Linked DNA regions of Alligator mississippiensis. The protein of the gene in region 2 interacts with the protein of the main gene of each other region in a biochemical or structural test. Links are inferred from orthologs where the notes say so. Each region holds a gene or a part of one and is shown on either strand. Other genes may lie near its edges.

What was found.
Region 1: the proteins of RARA (region 2) and TRIM24 form a complex in vitro, tested with the Homo sapiens proteins (3 studies listed by BioGRID). The link is inferred for Alligator mississippiensis from reciprocal best matches to the Homo sapiens genes RARA and TRIM24.

The regions. Positions count from the first base shown.
Region 1 is NC_081827.1:109,071,920-109,079,925, reverse strand, and holds the start of TRIM24 (transcription intermediary factor 1-alpha), read left to right. Parts: upstream 1-4,905; 5' UTR 4,906-5,012; coding exon 5,013-5,349; intron 5,350-8,006. UniProt on the Homo sapiens protein: Transcriptional coactivator that interacts with numerous nuclear receptors and coactivators and modulates the transcription of target genes.
Region 2 is NC_081827.1:164,453,527-164,460,451, reverse strand, and holds the start of RARA (retinoic acid receptor alpha), read left to right. Parts: upstream 1-3,913; 5' UTR 3,914-4,102; intron 4,103-6,925. UniProt on the Homo sapiens protein: Receptor for retinoic acid. Retinoic acid receptors bind as heterodimers to their target response elements in response to their ligands, all-trans or 9-cis retinoic acid, and regulate gene expression in various biological processes.

The DNA.
Region 1 (8,006 bases), about 55 Mb from region 2:
AGGGGGAGAAAGGAAGCAGAGAGAGTTCGGTTTGGGGTTTTTTCAGTCCCCACTGGAGGATGGGGCAGGTGTATTGGAGCCCCCCTGAGGTGACAGGGGCTCCAATTCACCCACTCCACTTTCCAGCGCTAGCTGGGGAACCCCTGGAATGAGCTCTCTCTGCTCCCTTTCCCCCCCTCCCATTCTGAAACAGGAATAGGCTGGGAGAGAGGAGGGGCCATTGCTAGAGGAAACCAGCTGCAGTCTTCCAGCCAGCAGCCAGAGTCTCTTCCCCCCTGGAACCAACAGTGAACTTCTGTTTGGTCCCAGGAATCATTATAACTCAGAGCACATCCTACAAAATGTTACAGCAGGGAACTGCACTTCTGCCTGCAACCTGTGGCTGCATCTACACAAGACACTGATTGTACAGTTGTAATTGCAGTCATTTAAAACTTGCATACACAAGTACTAAATGACAGTGCAGTAACTGGAGTTACTGCACAGTAGCATTGCCAAACGGGTTTTAGGTAATGCTGATTGTGCAGGAGCTCATTAGTACTGCGTAGTAGTGTCATGTCATGCCATGCTTTGTGCCATGCGATGCTACTGTGCAGTAGTAATGAACTACTGAGCAGTCAGTGTCTTGTGTAGATGTGACCTGTGTGTAGCAGGAGGAAAAGTGAATGGCAGGTCTGACTGATCCAGGCACTCAAGTAAACGCATTACGATTCCTGAGGTGAGAAAGCACTAAGCATGACATTGCATTAATATTTGGTGGTCTAGATTCTATTTACATTTTGTCATTCATGCCATTAGACTTAGTGTTGGTAGTGTTGAGGCGATGTTGTTGCTGTGATGTCCAGGAAATATGTGAGGCGCAAAAATTCTTGTGCATAATACCTTTTATTGGACCAACTCATGGTTGGAATAGACATAGGGAAGCTTTCCGATACCACAGCACAGTAAAAACCTGATAAAGGAGGAACAACGGTTTTCAGAAGGGTAGTTATCATTTAAGAAGTACAGAAGTTAGTGAGCATCAGGTACATTATAATGGGCCATTAAACCATTGTCTATGATAGGTCCCTGATACTTAGTTTCCAAAAGCTAATTAATTTCTGTTCCCAAGCCCATCTTGTAAGAGTGTTGGGTAGTTTTCCTTGGACTCTTTTGAACACTCTTGTTTCTCCTTTATCAGGTTTTTACTGCTTCTCTCCTGCTTGTTGGCAACCTGATTTCTCTTATATCTTGTTGTTGTTTACATACGGAGTTTTACACAAGCTCTGTTACATCAGCTACTTAACTCTGCTGTGTCTGCTTCTATCCCAGGGGCCTGAGGAAGGGTACTCTGATACCCAAAAGCTTGCCTATGTCTATTCCACCACACAGTTGGTGCAATAAAAAATATCACCCACAAAAATTCTTGCCTCTCGCATTAGACTTTGTGGCCTGGGATTGTTCTGTCCTAAGTGCAGGACTTTGCACTTGTCCTTGTTGAACCTCACAAGATTTCTTTTGGCTCAAGCCTCCAGTGTGTCTCTCTGAATCCTAGCCCTACTCCCCAGCAGATCTACTGCTCCTCCCAGCTTGGTGTCATCCGCAAACTTGCTGAGGTGCAATCCATCCCATCTTCCAGACAGTTAATGAAGATAATGAGTAAAACCAGCCCCAGGACCAATCCCTAGGGCAATCCACTTGATAATGGCTGCCAACTAGACGTTGAGCCATTGATCACTACCTATTGAGCCTGGTGATCCAGCCAGCTTTCTCTCCACCTTGCAGGCCATTCATCCACCCATACTTCCTCAGCTTGCATGCAAGAATGCTGTGGGAGATGGTATCAAAAGCCTTGTTAAAGTCAAAGTATATCACGTTGACTGCTTTCCCTGCAACCACAAAGCCAGTCATCTCATCAAAGAAGGCAATGAGGTTGGTCAGGCATGACTTGCCCTTGGTTAATCCATACTGACTGTTCCTGATTACTTTTTTCTTCTTCAAGTGCTTAGAAATGGATTCCTTGAGGACCTACTCCATGATTTTTCTGGGGACTGAGGTGAGGCAGTCTGGTCTGTAGTTCCCTGGATCCTCCTTCTTCCCCTTCTTAAAGATGGGCACTAGATTTGCCCTTTTCCAATAGACCAGGGCCTCCCCTGATCACAGTGAGTTTTCAAAGATAAAGGCCCTGTGGCTCTGCAATCACATCAGCCAAAAACCCTCAGCATCCTCACGCTGAGATCCAGCCTGCAGACCATATCCAGCTCATAGAGGTGCATCATTTGGAACCCAGTTTTGCCCCAGTCTTGGAGTGACTCACAAGCAGTGTGCAGGGTACACTGGATGGCCCTGGATGATACCCATAGAGTGGCCACCAAGGGCAGCACAACCCCAGAGCAGCCTTGTATAGCTCTGGAGCCATGTTACACATGATAATGGCTCCAGAATGGTGCAGCACAGCCCATGAGTGACTGGTGCCTTCTGAGTCTGGGGGGGCACCCGCAGAAGCCATTGATGGCAGTGGCCCTGTCGGGGAGCACCAGCTCTACGAATAGCATCAGTGTTGGCTGTCAGGGGGGGCACCGGCCCCACTGGGGGTGGGCATGGGCACCCCTGTGCACCCCCTACCAGTCACCTATGGCACAGCCCCACAGAGGTTGGAACAAGATCAGAATGTGGGGCTGGTCTGTGGGTCTGATCCAGTCTGCAGACTAGTCCCACCAAACTCATCTGGTCTGTGGGGCCGGGTAAGTTTGATGCTCCTGTAACAAGGGAATCTCAGCTTGCCCAAAAGGGAGTAAAAAGAAAATCCTTACAAGTCCAGCAGCCACCTCTGACATGGGTGACCTCTGCCACTGCTATCTGAAGAGGATTGGGACTGCAGCATGGAGATAGTAATATGGAGAACCCTTGTCATGGTTTTCTTAGGATCCCAGATTGCCTTCTTTTGGTCCTGCTACTTCTTACAAATAAGGAAGCAACCGTTTGAAGAAATTATGAAGCAAAAGAACAGAAGAGCCATGAAGATATCTACTGACAGAAAAATCAGCTTTGGAACTTTTCCCCTTCCCACCTCCCCTTTTTTGGGGAAGGGTAGCTTATAAATCTAATTAAACCAAATAAATCAGTCAATCAGTCAATAAATAAATGAAGTTCAGTAACAGAAGAGTAACATTTTCTTACTCAGTATCCCAACTCATAAAAGTGCAATTGTGCTGCATATTTAGTGGACACAACAATTGATCTGACCTGTTTCCTATGGTTGCTGCCCCAGTCTGCAACCTGAACGTTGGTTATTTCTCTTAATGCACCAATTGCTTGTGAAACACTTTGGTAAGATAGTGGGGTTTTTTAGTTTATTGTCCTATGGAATAATATTCTTGTTTCATATATTGGTACTTGCTTTATGTAAAGATGTTTTTATTAATTTCTGTGAAGGTTTTGTTTTCATAATGTTGGTATTTGAGGAAGCAGGATGAATATCCCCTTTGTAGGCCAAGTAAGATATATACACATTTGAGGAAGTCACAGTAGTCTTGGTATGTTCTACCTCTTCTGCACTAGGTCCATGTGAAAATAAATTGCAAACATTTTTTTAAGAGACTACACAGCATGAATTGGTTGCTTCTCTCTCTCATTGTTGCAATTCCTCCTTAACGGGTTTTTCTCCTCACTGGATTCCAGTTCTATGCTCAGCGGGTAGTTATTTTGTAAGGGCTATTCCCAGTGCCTCCTTAAAGCTTTTTCTTCCTGTCCTGGATAGTCTGAGTATAATCCCACCCTTCCTATAAAGGGAAGCTAACAGGGGATGGGGGTGGGGAGGAGAGGGTGAGCCTGGCTAGCCATATGCATATTAATAACTGAAGCTAAAGGCTCCACCCTTCTGTTGTTGCCTCTGGGCAAAGCTGGGAGGAGGTGGCAGGACTGGAGAAAAGAAGGCAGATGGGCTGGGTAACATTGTTCTCATTAATATTAATCAGGAGAGATGAGGAGGAGGAGGAGGAAGAGAAGGGGAGGAGGAGAGTGCTGGTCCTTGTGTTGTTAAAGCCAGACAGGGAATCAGATCTGACCTCCTAAATTGTATTAAAAAAATACAAATTTGCCTTTGTATTGTGTGACACTATTAGTATCAGTTATAGATTATGCTCCAGTAGTATCAATCCTGGACCTGAGGAATCCAAACCAAGGAGAGGCCTGTGTAAGCCACTGTTGTGAAGACACTACTAGTCCTGTGTCGTTTACAGCTTCTGCACTGGGGCTAGCCATGTGTCTGGGCTGACAGGGGTACTGGGGGTTCCAGGTTGACCTCGGGTATGTGTTGAGGGCAGCTCGAGAAGGACACGAAAAGCGGGTAGCAGGGTGTCAGAGCCTCGCTTACAAGATAGGATGTGTGTGTGTGTGTGTGTATGTATGTGTGTGTACATGTGTGTATATATGTGTATTTATGTATGCACATATGTGTGTGTGTTTATATGTCTATATATGCCTGCGGAGTTGATGGGCAAGCAACTTCATGGAGTTGTGATCAGTCTGGCACACACTGATCCCGCCGCCCCCTCCTAGCTCCTGAGCTGGGGGTATCACACGCCAGCTGAGAGAAGCGGCGCGCAAGAAGGAGCCGCGGGACCGTGTTGCCTTAGGCCAAAAGGGGCGTGGCTACTGAGCGAAGGGGGCGTGGCCACGCCGGAATGGCGAGCGAGCGAGCGGCGGGGCGGAGCAGCGAGGGCGGGGCTGACTCCGGCAGAGGGGGGCTGGGCCGGGGAGAGGCGAGCCGGCGGGGCCGAGACCCTGGCGTGGGGGGCGGGGCGGCAGAGGGGGCGGGGCGCGGCGGCGGGTTGGCTGAAGCGGGCGGAGGGGGCGGGGCGCGGCGGCGGGTTGGCTGAAGCGGGCGGAGGGGCGGGGCGCGGGCGGCCGTTGGCCATGTTGAGCGGGTGCAGCCGCCTCCCGGGCTAGGACAACAAACCCTGCGGTGGCGGCGGCGCGCGGCGGGGGCGGGGCAGCGGCGGCTCGTGCGACGCGGCGGCTGGTGCCGGACAATGGAGGCAGCAGCGGTGGCGGCGGCGGCGGGGGGCCCGAGCTGGGCGGCGGCGGCGGCGGGGGGGGAGCGGGCGGCGCTGAGCGGGGAGAACGAGGCCGAGAGCCGGCAGGGCCCGGCGGAGCGCAGCGGCGAGGCGGCGCCGCTCAACCTGTTGGACACTTGCGGCGTGTGCGGGCAGCCCATCCAGAGCCGGCGGCCCAAGCTGCTGCCTTGCCTGCACTCGCTCTGCCTGCGCTGCTTGCCGCTGCCCGAGCGCTACCTCATGCTGCCGCCCCCCGCGCCCGCCGCCCCCCGCGACCCGCCGCCCGCCGCCTCGCCACTGCACTGCACGACCGGTAAGTGCCGCTCGCGCGTCGCCGTCGGGGCCGCGCCACGTGCTGTCGCGACAGGCGTGGAGGGCACCGGGACACCCTCCCCCCAGGGGCGTCTCGTGGTTGCAGGCGGGCAGCCTCCCCCTTCCCCTCCCCCCACAGGGGCGGCCGGCCTCTGAGCCTCCCGCCCCTCCCCCTGCTGCCCCGAGGTTCTCCTGCCTCTGCCGGCAGCCTGTGGGTCTTAACAGGGCAAGCTTGTTTTAACCCTACGCTTCAAAGGCACAGCTCCTGCTCTGCTTCCACCAGGTTTGTCCTTACCCTGGATGCAGGTGTGTGACAAAGCAGGCAGTGGGCTGAGGGATGCAATGCACATACAACACTTGATCTGAGCCTTCAAGAGGCCGAGACGCATATATATGTTCGGAGAGTTGTCGTCCTCCCAACCCCCCTTTTGGTTCAGGGTGTGAAGATGGCCCAGGGTGGTTGCAGCAGGAGCTCCTGGTAAGGAGCAGGGCGTGGTGTTACAGGGCTGGGCAGATCATGCCCTCCCCAATAGGGGCGTGGGTGAAACATGCAGCGGACTTCGTGCTGACCTGTAGTTGCAGGGCAGAAAGCAAAGGTAAGCTGTGAGAGTTGAATCAAACTGTGCTGTAATGGCTCTTTTATTGCCCCTCCGGGTTTTGTGTTTTGTTTCTTTTTTTATTTGTCAAACTTCACAGATTGGTTTCACTTTTTGGCATAGATGAGGAAGGAAAGGGCTTCTGCGAGGGAGGAAAAAAAGATGGAGGGCAGCACGAGGCACCTGTTAGTTGGTGGGGGGGAGCAAGTGGCTTAGAAGTTCCAAGTTCAGTGATGTTTCTGTGTTGGGCAGTCTGCAAGGGCACCAGCCTTCAGGCAACCCCTGCCTGCTTCACCTGCCCAGCCTGCCTGGGCTTGCTTGCACAGTATGGGACTCTGTGGTAGTACCCAGACAGGGGGTGACCAGGCATATGTCCGTGTGTCTGTGTCGGGGAAGATAAAGGGTGGAGGGCCTCCGTGTCATTCCAAAGAGTTGGTTGCTTTGAGACTTCCCATAGTCTCCCCTCACACTAGGATTAAAAGGACTTTCCTTAGAAAGCTGCAAGTACCTTGCATTGCCAGCAGTTGCATAGAGCTGTGTGTGCAGGGGGAACCTGGAAAGCAGGGCTGGGTACATGAGTGCAGGCAGAGGCGGTGGAACAGTTAACAGTTGATGGGCTAATTCACTTCTCATTGAGTGTGGAATTGGTAGCCATTCTGTTCTGTTAAATACCCATTGGGCAATAGAGGTCTTTCCCCACCACCTCCCCCCAGCAATTAACAGGTGTTTTACTGTTACAGCCCAACCACCCCTTGCTTGCCACAAACCATAAAGCCCTCTACTTTCTCCCTCCAGAACCTGGCTACCCCTCCACCCCGCACCATCCCAGATAAGGCAGAGATCCCTGCCCAGGGTCCGTAGCATGGAACTGAAACTGATACAGAGGCTTTTTGCTTCCCTGCCCTGTGAACTGTTGTTTCTGTAGGCAGTAGAGTCATAGTTGCATCCCAGAGGAGCCCTAGTATGGTTTGTGGGGTGTGAGGAGTGGTGCAGTTTGGGATGTCCAGAGGACTGACCAGACACTAGGCACAGAATGCTCTATGTCCACACATAACACTAAACTGGTTCAAGGAGAATCAGATTAGTACATAATTTTCCCAGTGTGCTTTTGAAATGTTCCAGGAAATTTTAACTGGTCTAATGTGGCATGCATGTCTAGACTCTTGCGTTTTACAGGGTAATTAGAGTGTTCTCAGTTTTACATCTGTCCATACTTGTAGTGTCCACATGCTATCAGTCTGGTTAAATTTAGATGAGGCATTTAGCTAAACCTTTTTGATTTTGAATTAAATAAAGAACCTCTTGAAGTCGTCCTTAAGCAAATGTGCTTTTCATCATGGAGATCTAGTTTGTGTTTGACATAGCTGTAATACATTTCTAGGCAATAGGCATGTTGTAGTAGAACTTTAGTACTGTCAGTAGTGTATTGGATGATAAAAATTACTTGAACCAATTTTCCCTTAATCTCTTTCTTAGTAGATGTAAATGCCTGTTTATTCTATTCTGTAATACAAAAGTTCATTCTGAAAAAAAACCAGAAACGTGGTGATGGAAATGAATGAAATAGATATCTTTAATAGGTAGGTGTGATGGAACTGGAGCTACTCTCTAGCAGTTTATGAATGCTGTATATTGACCTGGATATTGGGATGAAGGGACCTGGAGAGAGGGACATGAAAGGCAATATCAGAACTGCTGAACTTGAAGAATTTGCTGTCATCTTAACCTGTAAAATGCATTTTGTCTAGGGAAAAGTTCATAACCTAGGAACACCAAAACATTATAGTAATTTAAAAAGGAACACAGCTTGCAGAAGAACTTTGTCCAACCCACAGCATGTCCCTCAGTCCCACCTGGCCCATGTGCTGTCTGGCCTGTGGCATGTCCCGCTGGTCCCAGGTATGCAGTGGGACTGGGGTAGCTCTGCGGCTGGACTCCACTTCTAGGCAGCCCAAGGGGCAGTGGCTCCTTCCGACTGCTGCCACCTTTGGCCCCAGCCCCATGGAGACTGGCAAGAACCTGCACACACAGCCCCAGCCTTGGCCCGCCTTGCACCCACTCT
Region 2 (6,925 bases):
TTCATCCTAGCTGATCTGCATTCCCTACACCCTGGCAATAACTGCCCATCTCTCTCCTGGGGAGAGCTGTGGCAGGGAGCAGGGTCCAGCATTTTGGGCATGGATATTTTGGGCAGGACTCCTGGGTTCCAGTTCCAGCCCCAGCCTTGCCTTCCCCCCACCCCCCCAGCCACTTAGCACTTAACTTATAGCTGCTTACCCCTATCCATGCCTCAGTTTCCCTTCGCTGCAGGATAGGGATGGCATTTGCAGCACACATGGCACAATGCTCCTTACCAGTGCAAAGGGCACTGAGGTTGGGGCTGTCTGCTGAGGGTGCTGTTACTGAGCGCATCTGTGTTCACAGCGATCTCAATTAATTAACAAGGGGTCTGAGTTTCAATGGCAAGGAATCCTCCAAGGATGAGGGAGTAAAAAACCCTGAACAGGAATGGCTGGAGTACAAGGAGGAAGCTGGGGGGTGGGGGCCAGTGGAGGGGCTGGGGGGGAGGATGGGGGTTGAGTAGGGTAGCGGGCCGAGTTCCAGGCAGAGGGAACTCCAGTGAGATCCAGCCCCTGCCTCCTCCTGGGCCCCTCTGCCTGGTTAAAAGGTTCCAGAAGCCTTTTCTTTGCAGGACAAGATAAATCTGTCACTCTCTGGGCTGGGGGAGGGGAAGGGCTGGTGGTGCATGCTGGGTGGGTGAGTGCTGTTGGAGATGCAGGCCAGGGTGGGGGTTGGGGACTCCCCTGCAGGAGCATGGGGCTGGGACAGGCTGGGCTGTGCCATGGTTAGGCCGTGGCTTGCAGTGCTGCGGGGATCGGGCAGGGGTCAGTGCGAGGAGGGCAAGGGAAGGGGACAGAGAGTGCATTGCCCCATCCAAGGCTCCTGTCCTAGCTCTGTCCCAGGGCAACTCTAAGCGGGATGGGTCATGGAGGGGCAGGGCTGGAATAAGCTGGGCAAGGTGCTGGGCAGAGACTCGGACAGAGTACAGGCTTCCTGAAGGCCAGGCCCTCCCAGGCTCAGCTCCATTACAAGGGCAGGGTGTGGAGTTGCTGGACCCCACAGGCACTTTGTTCTGGGCAGAACAGACACTCCCCAGTGCACGGTTCCAGGGTCTTTGAATGCTCGGGGCTTGGGCTCTCTGTTCTAGGATGCAGGGGCAGGCCCCTCCAGCCAGATGCAGTGGTGTCAGCAGGACCAGGTGAGCCACACTGGGTACCCAGAAGGATCCAGCCCTGCTTTGTGCCTCAGTTTCCACTCTCACCCTTTGTCTGTTTAGACTTCTAGCTATTTGGGCCCAGGGCTGTCTCACTCCGTGTCAGAGCAGTATACAGTGTGATGGAGGTCCTGACTTGAGCTGAGGCTTAGTCTGGGCAGTGCCTAGCGCCACCGGGACCATAATCTCAGTAGGTGCCTGCTGGTGCAAGGAGAAGGAAGAAGCTTGGTCTCTGTGGAAGCTTCTAGGTATTACCATAACCTAGACTGTAGCAGAGCCTGCTTCCTTGCAGCTGCTAGCTCCATTGTCTGCCCTGGCTGTCTTGTGGGCAGGGCTGGTAGCAATGCAAGGAATTAAGGGTGCCCCGCACCCGTTTGTCAGCCCCTGTGCATGCGACTGTCCTTCCACCATCATTGAGCACTTGGCTTTGCAGCCGCTGTCCTGTCCTTCCAGCACAGGTTCCTTGCATGCAGTACCATGGATTGCCCATGAGCCTTGGGGTCTCTCTTTGGCCAGTAAAATGCAGCCACCTCTGGTGTGGAATGAGGCTATGCAGTGATATCTTGGGACAGAGTGTGAGGAGCCCAGAAGGCCGCAAAACTGGCTGGGGGAGTCTCAGTGGAGGGAAGGGAGTTGCCAGGGTGGAGATCTGAACTGGGGCCAGGCTCCATCTCCTGTGGAAATGGGCAGGGGCAGAGTGCACTGACCTAGGGAGTCGCTAGGGTAATCTCACCTGTCTGGCGATGACAGTGCCCACAGTGTGTGCCACCTGGACAGTGGGCTCAGCTGTCACCTCCAGCATTTAGCTAAGTGGTCCACTGTGGGCACCAGACCTCAGCCCACAGGGCCCAGCACATTCAGACCCAGGCAGGGGGCTTTCCTCTTCCTTGTCACCCGCTGTCTCCCAGAGAGTGGGTGGTGGGTAGCAGTGGGTGAGGCACCTGGCTTCACACCCCCAGTCCTTCACACCCTGCCAGACCAGGACATTGCTGGAAATGCCCTCCCTCCCCCTGTCCTGCATGTATCAGCCGGGACCTAGGGGCTCCTGGTAGAGACACCAGCCCATCAATCAGGGGCTGAGGCCTCTGCACCGCCCCCTTCTCCATCTTCAGTTGAGTTTCCGGTCCCTTACCGGCAATTAATAGACAAGAACAACAGTGCGCCTTGCGCCCAGACAAGTGAGAACGCAGCTGTCCTAGTGCCATGGGGGCTAGCCTGGGGCGGGTGGGAAGCAGGTACAGGGTGGGGGTGGTAGGGTGCCACGCAAGGCACCAGTATCTCCTAGCTACTGGAGGAAGGAGGCTACCCTCTCCTGCCTCTTGGTGCCTTAACCCTGCGCCCAGCTTCTCAGAGGGGGAGAGGTAGCCAGCACTGAAACACAGAGATTTGTTTTTTTTTCTTTACTTCTTCCCCTTTCGCAGTCAAGCAGAGTTAACCCCTTACAAAGCACCATCTGCCTGATTCACAGTCTCGTTTGGCTTGGGGCCTGCCGTGGGCAGACACTGGATCCTGCCCCAAGCTCCACATGGCAAATGTGGGGGTGTGGGACCAGTCTGTACCGCGCGTCTCAGTTGGCTCCGTGCCCGCCATGGGTACTAGCCAGGATGACTGGGAACTCCCAGTGACTTCCAGAGGGCAACCAGGCCTCAATGTCTCAGATGCATTGCTCTGGTTTGAGCTCAGCCTGTCGGCTGGGGGCCGGGCTTTGAGTATCTCTGCTGCAGAGGGGCCTCTACGGTGGGACATTTCCTCCTCCAGCTGGTACTGGGCTTGGATTCTGTGTCTGCAGCCTGAAGTTGGCTGGTACCAGGAGCAGGGCACCAGAACCCACCTCCTGCGTGGGAGCAGAGCATAACCCAGCGAAGAGCAGATAAGGGGCAGGGAGCGCATGTGCGTGCAAGGCCAGGGGAGAGGATTTCCTTTGATAAGGAGAGCCATGTCACAGAGGGCACAGGCACAGGCAGATGCCCCCAGGCCTCCAGCGTGCAGGGGAGTGGGCCCCGTGGGGCTGGGCGTGGAGCACCGGCGCCGTGGCCTGACCTGGGAGCCAAGGCTGCGTCTGGCAGAGCGCTGGAAGGAGCACGGGATGGGATGGGACTTCCTGGGTCACGGAGTCCAGAGCGCTGCTAACACGGGCGCCACGTCACAGGGTCCCCGCAGGGCCGGGAAGGAGGCTGTTACCCAAGATGCCCCGATGGGGACTGGCTGACTCCTGGGCACCGGGGCTAGGAAAGCAGGGCCCAGCTGCTCCCACACCAGGGTCTTGTCTCCTGCGCCCGGTGGCTGAGGGGCCCGGTGGCTGAGGGGCCCGATGCCGTTTAGGGGCATCCTCCCTGCAGCCTCCTGGGGCCCTTTGACAGGTAGGGAAACTGAGGCAGGGTGCGAGGTGACTTCAGGTGTAGGGGCCCAGCTGGGGTGTGAACCCAAGCGTCCACACTCCCAGCCCGAGCCACCAGACGTCCCTCCCTCCCTCCCCAACTCCCCCCTCACCGCCCCCACTCAAAAAAAAAAAAAAAAAAAAAATGAGCTGCCGCTTTAAGAAGCCCCTCCCCTCCCCTCCCCTCGGGAGGTCTAGACACTTCAAAGGGTTAGTCGGCAGCGACCGGGCCCGCCCCCCGCTCTCCATTGGTTGGCTGCGGGCAGGGGGCGTGTCCCCGCGCGGCCCGTTCCCCCCCGCCCAGTGTAAAGTTTCAGCCGAAGCACATGACGGGCAATGGCTGCTGTCGCCCCGCGCTGAGCGCGCGCCCCGCCAGCGCCGCGTCCCATTGCCCCGCGCCGTTGCCGCCGCCGCCGCCGCCGGAGCGAGGCCCGGGGCTGGGCTGGGCACGATGCGGCCGCGGGTTGCACGCCACGCGGGTGCCTGAGTCGCGCAGGGCCGGGGAGGCGCCCGCTCCTTTCTCTGCAAGGTAACTCCCGGCTCCGCCCGCCTTCTTCGCAAACTTTCCCCTGGGTGCGCTGGGGGGGGGGCGCTTCCTGCGGGGTGAGGCTGGGGAGAGGGAGTCTCTCTCCTTTCCCCCCCAGACTCCACATCCTAGCGCACATTGCAGACCCCCCCACTTGCACCCTGCCAGTTTGTTTGGATTTGCTGCAAATGCAGCCCAGGTTCCTCTCCCCAAGTGACAGGGCCCGCTGCTCCGGTCACTCAGGCGTTGTGACCATAGATGGGGGGGCTGGGGGGCAGGCGGGGGGAGGCACGCTGCTATTGTGCTGCTTGGGGGAGGGGGGAGTGAGCATGGCTGGGGTGGTTTTCCGCGGGGGAGCATGCGTGGCTTGATCCCCTTGTCCTGCGCCCCCCTCCCCCAAGCCCCAAGTGTTCGCACCCAACTGTTGCAGCAGGTTGTGGCTACGCATTCCCAGCTGTCACCCCCTCCCCATGCTCCCCTTCCTGGCTGCATCCTGGCGGGGTGGGGGGTGCTGGTGTGGTTAATAGCCTCCAGGGGCTTCTCAGTGGTAGTGTTTGGTTCACCCCCACCCCACCCCGCCCTTCATCCACTGCCTCCTCTGGTCTCCCCTCCTCTGGCTCCTCTGGAATTTGGGGTGAGGGTAAGTATAAGTAGCCCTTTTTCCGGGAAATCCCAGGCTTTCCATCAAGCCCTTAATTTCCATGCAAACACCTTGCAATGCATTGGAGTGCCTTGGTTGAGTGCTTCTCCAGCTGGCTCTCCTTTCCCAGCTAAGCACTTTTTGCAGAGAACTTTTTTGCTCCTTTATTCCCCCCCCCTCCCCCCTTTAAGGCCCCGTCCAGCCGTGAGCCATTGCTGCGCCTCAGCACGCTTCCCCTTTTGCTGGTGTTACGTGAGGTTAAGCGGTGGGGAGCTCCTGCTGCTCTGCCTTGGCCAGAGCGACGGCTGTGGGTGTGGCGATACGGGGCCTCTGTGCTTTTGAAGGTTTCGAAGTGCCGCTTTTGTTGGTGTGTCACTTTCCCCGGCTTGGCATGATCTTTAAATGGCCTGACACTGCTTTCCAGAGGTGCCTGCGCAATGACTCGGGGAACCCTGTCACCCTCTGTGGTTGTGCTGGTTGGGGAGGTGTGGACAGATAGGCAGGGTGCAGGGCAAGGAGGGTTTGCCTCTTTAGGATGAAGTTTTGGAGAAGGAAGAGCTGTTGGCCTGATAAGCAGAGGAAACCCCATAACAGCACTTCTGAAATGAATCCAGCAGGGTTCACACGGCCGTGAGCAGGGGAGCAGTTCTATGTGGTTACAGTTAATCGGATCTGTCTGAGGCTGGGCCTGTGCAGCAGCTGACAGTGTTGGGGATCTGAAGCAGGAGCCATGGGGATTTTCTGCTGGACCCGTGGCTGGAGGCACCGGGGTCCTCTTGCTGGCAGCATTACTGTTTGGCTGGGTTCTGATCTTGTCCTGCATTGGGGTTGACAAGTGCTGTGCAGGCCAGGCAGCTGAACGGTCCCTGTCCCAAAGAGCAGTCACATGGTGCGGAGTAGACTTTGGGCTGGTCTGGGGAGAGCTGCCTTCCCTGCTGCATGCCCCCTGGGTGCCAGGCACGAGAGCATGGGTCTGTGCTCTGTTTATCTGCAGAGTTATTTAAGGGGTTGGATTGGGCTGCATCCCAGGAGAAGGGTTGTGGGGAATCGGGTCTGTGTCGCTTCCTGGCACAGCTCAGTGCTAACCTGCCGCTGGAGGAGGTAATTCTCCCAGGAGGAAGTAATCTTTCTCTGCAGCTGACAATCCACTGGCGCAGCTACAAACAGTGCAGGGGAAAGAGGAAAGGGGGGGGGTGTCCTTCTGCCCCACCCCCTCCACTTGCTGCCTCCCCCAAGCTCCCACGTGGGGTTGATCCTTCCCTTAGTGCAGGATGACACTTGTGTGACTGCAGCCCTTGTGTACAGGGAGCCTGGCCAGGTGCTCCAGCCTGCATTTGAGAGTTGGAGGGGCCTTGGATGTGATCTGGGCCCTGGGCTCTGCCCCTGCTGCTTGCCAGCTAAAGTGAGTAGGTTGATTGCCAGAGGGAGCCTTGCTGAGACCAGGGAGCTGACTTGAGCAGTGCCCAGCGATTCTGCCTGGGTCCTCAGGTCTCGCAACAGCTTCTCCTCCCCTCAGTTTCTGACCTGCTAAGCAGAGCCTGGTAACTGTGCCACAGGTCAGGGCTGAAGAAAATGAGTTCAGGGCTAGAGCAACTGCTGCAGGGAAGGCACACTCCCTGCAGAAAGCTGTGGCTGAGGTCCTTGTCTTGCCTGAAACAGGTGGGCATGGGGGGCATTCGGCCTCCTGGGTCATGGAACTGGGTTGCCCTGAGCAGGCCTCCCCGACAGCATAATTCATTGTTCTTTTAGCACCAGGACTGTTTCCGGCAGCTCGATGCTGGCACTAGCAATGCCCCTGAGGTCCTGATGGGGAAATTGGAGCACAGAGAGAGCAGGGCATTTTGGAAGGCTACACTGCGTTGGCTTGGTGCTCTGTTGCTCAGTTGACAGCTCATGCAGCACAGTGGGCTACTTATAGGGGGTAATCCTACAGCCCAGATCTTGATGTTGATGGCAGGTACCAGGGGACAGGTGCCTGTGGGCTGTGCAGGGCTGCAGGGGGTGTAGATTGGAGGAGTGACATACAATCAGCACAGCTGGCTGTTTCTGCCAAGCTGCTCAGCAGTGGAAGAGTTAATGTGATTGTTGGCATTGGAATTATCATTAAGTTTCCAAGTGGGCTCCCCCACTCTGTCCAGGGATGCTGGGAAGCTAGGCTCTCTGCAGACTCAGGCAGGTATCTCCGC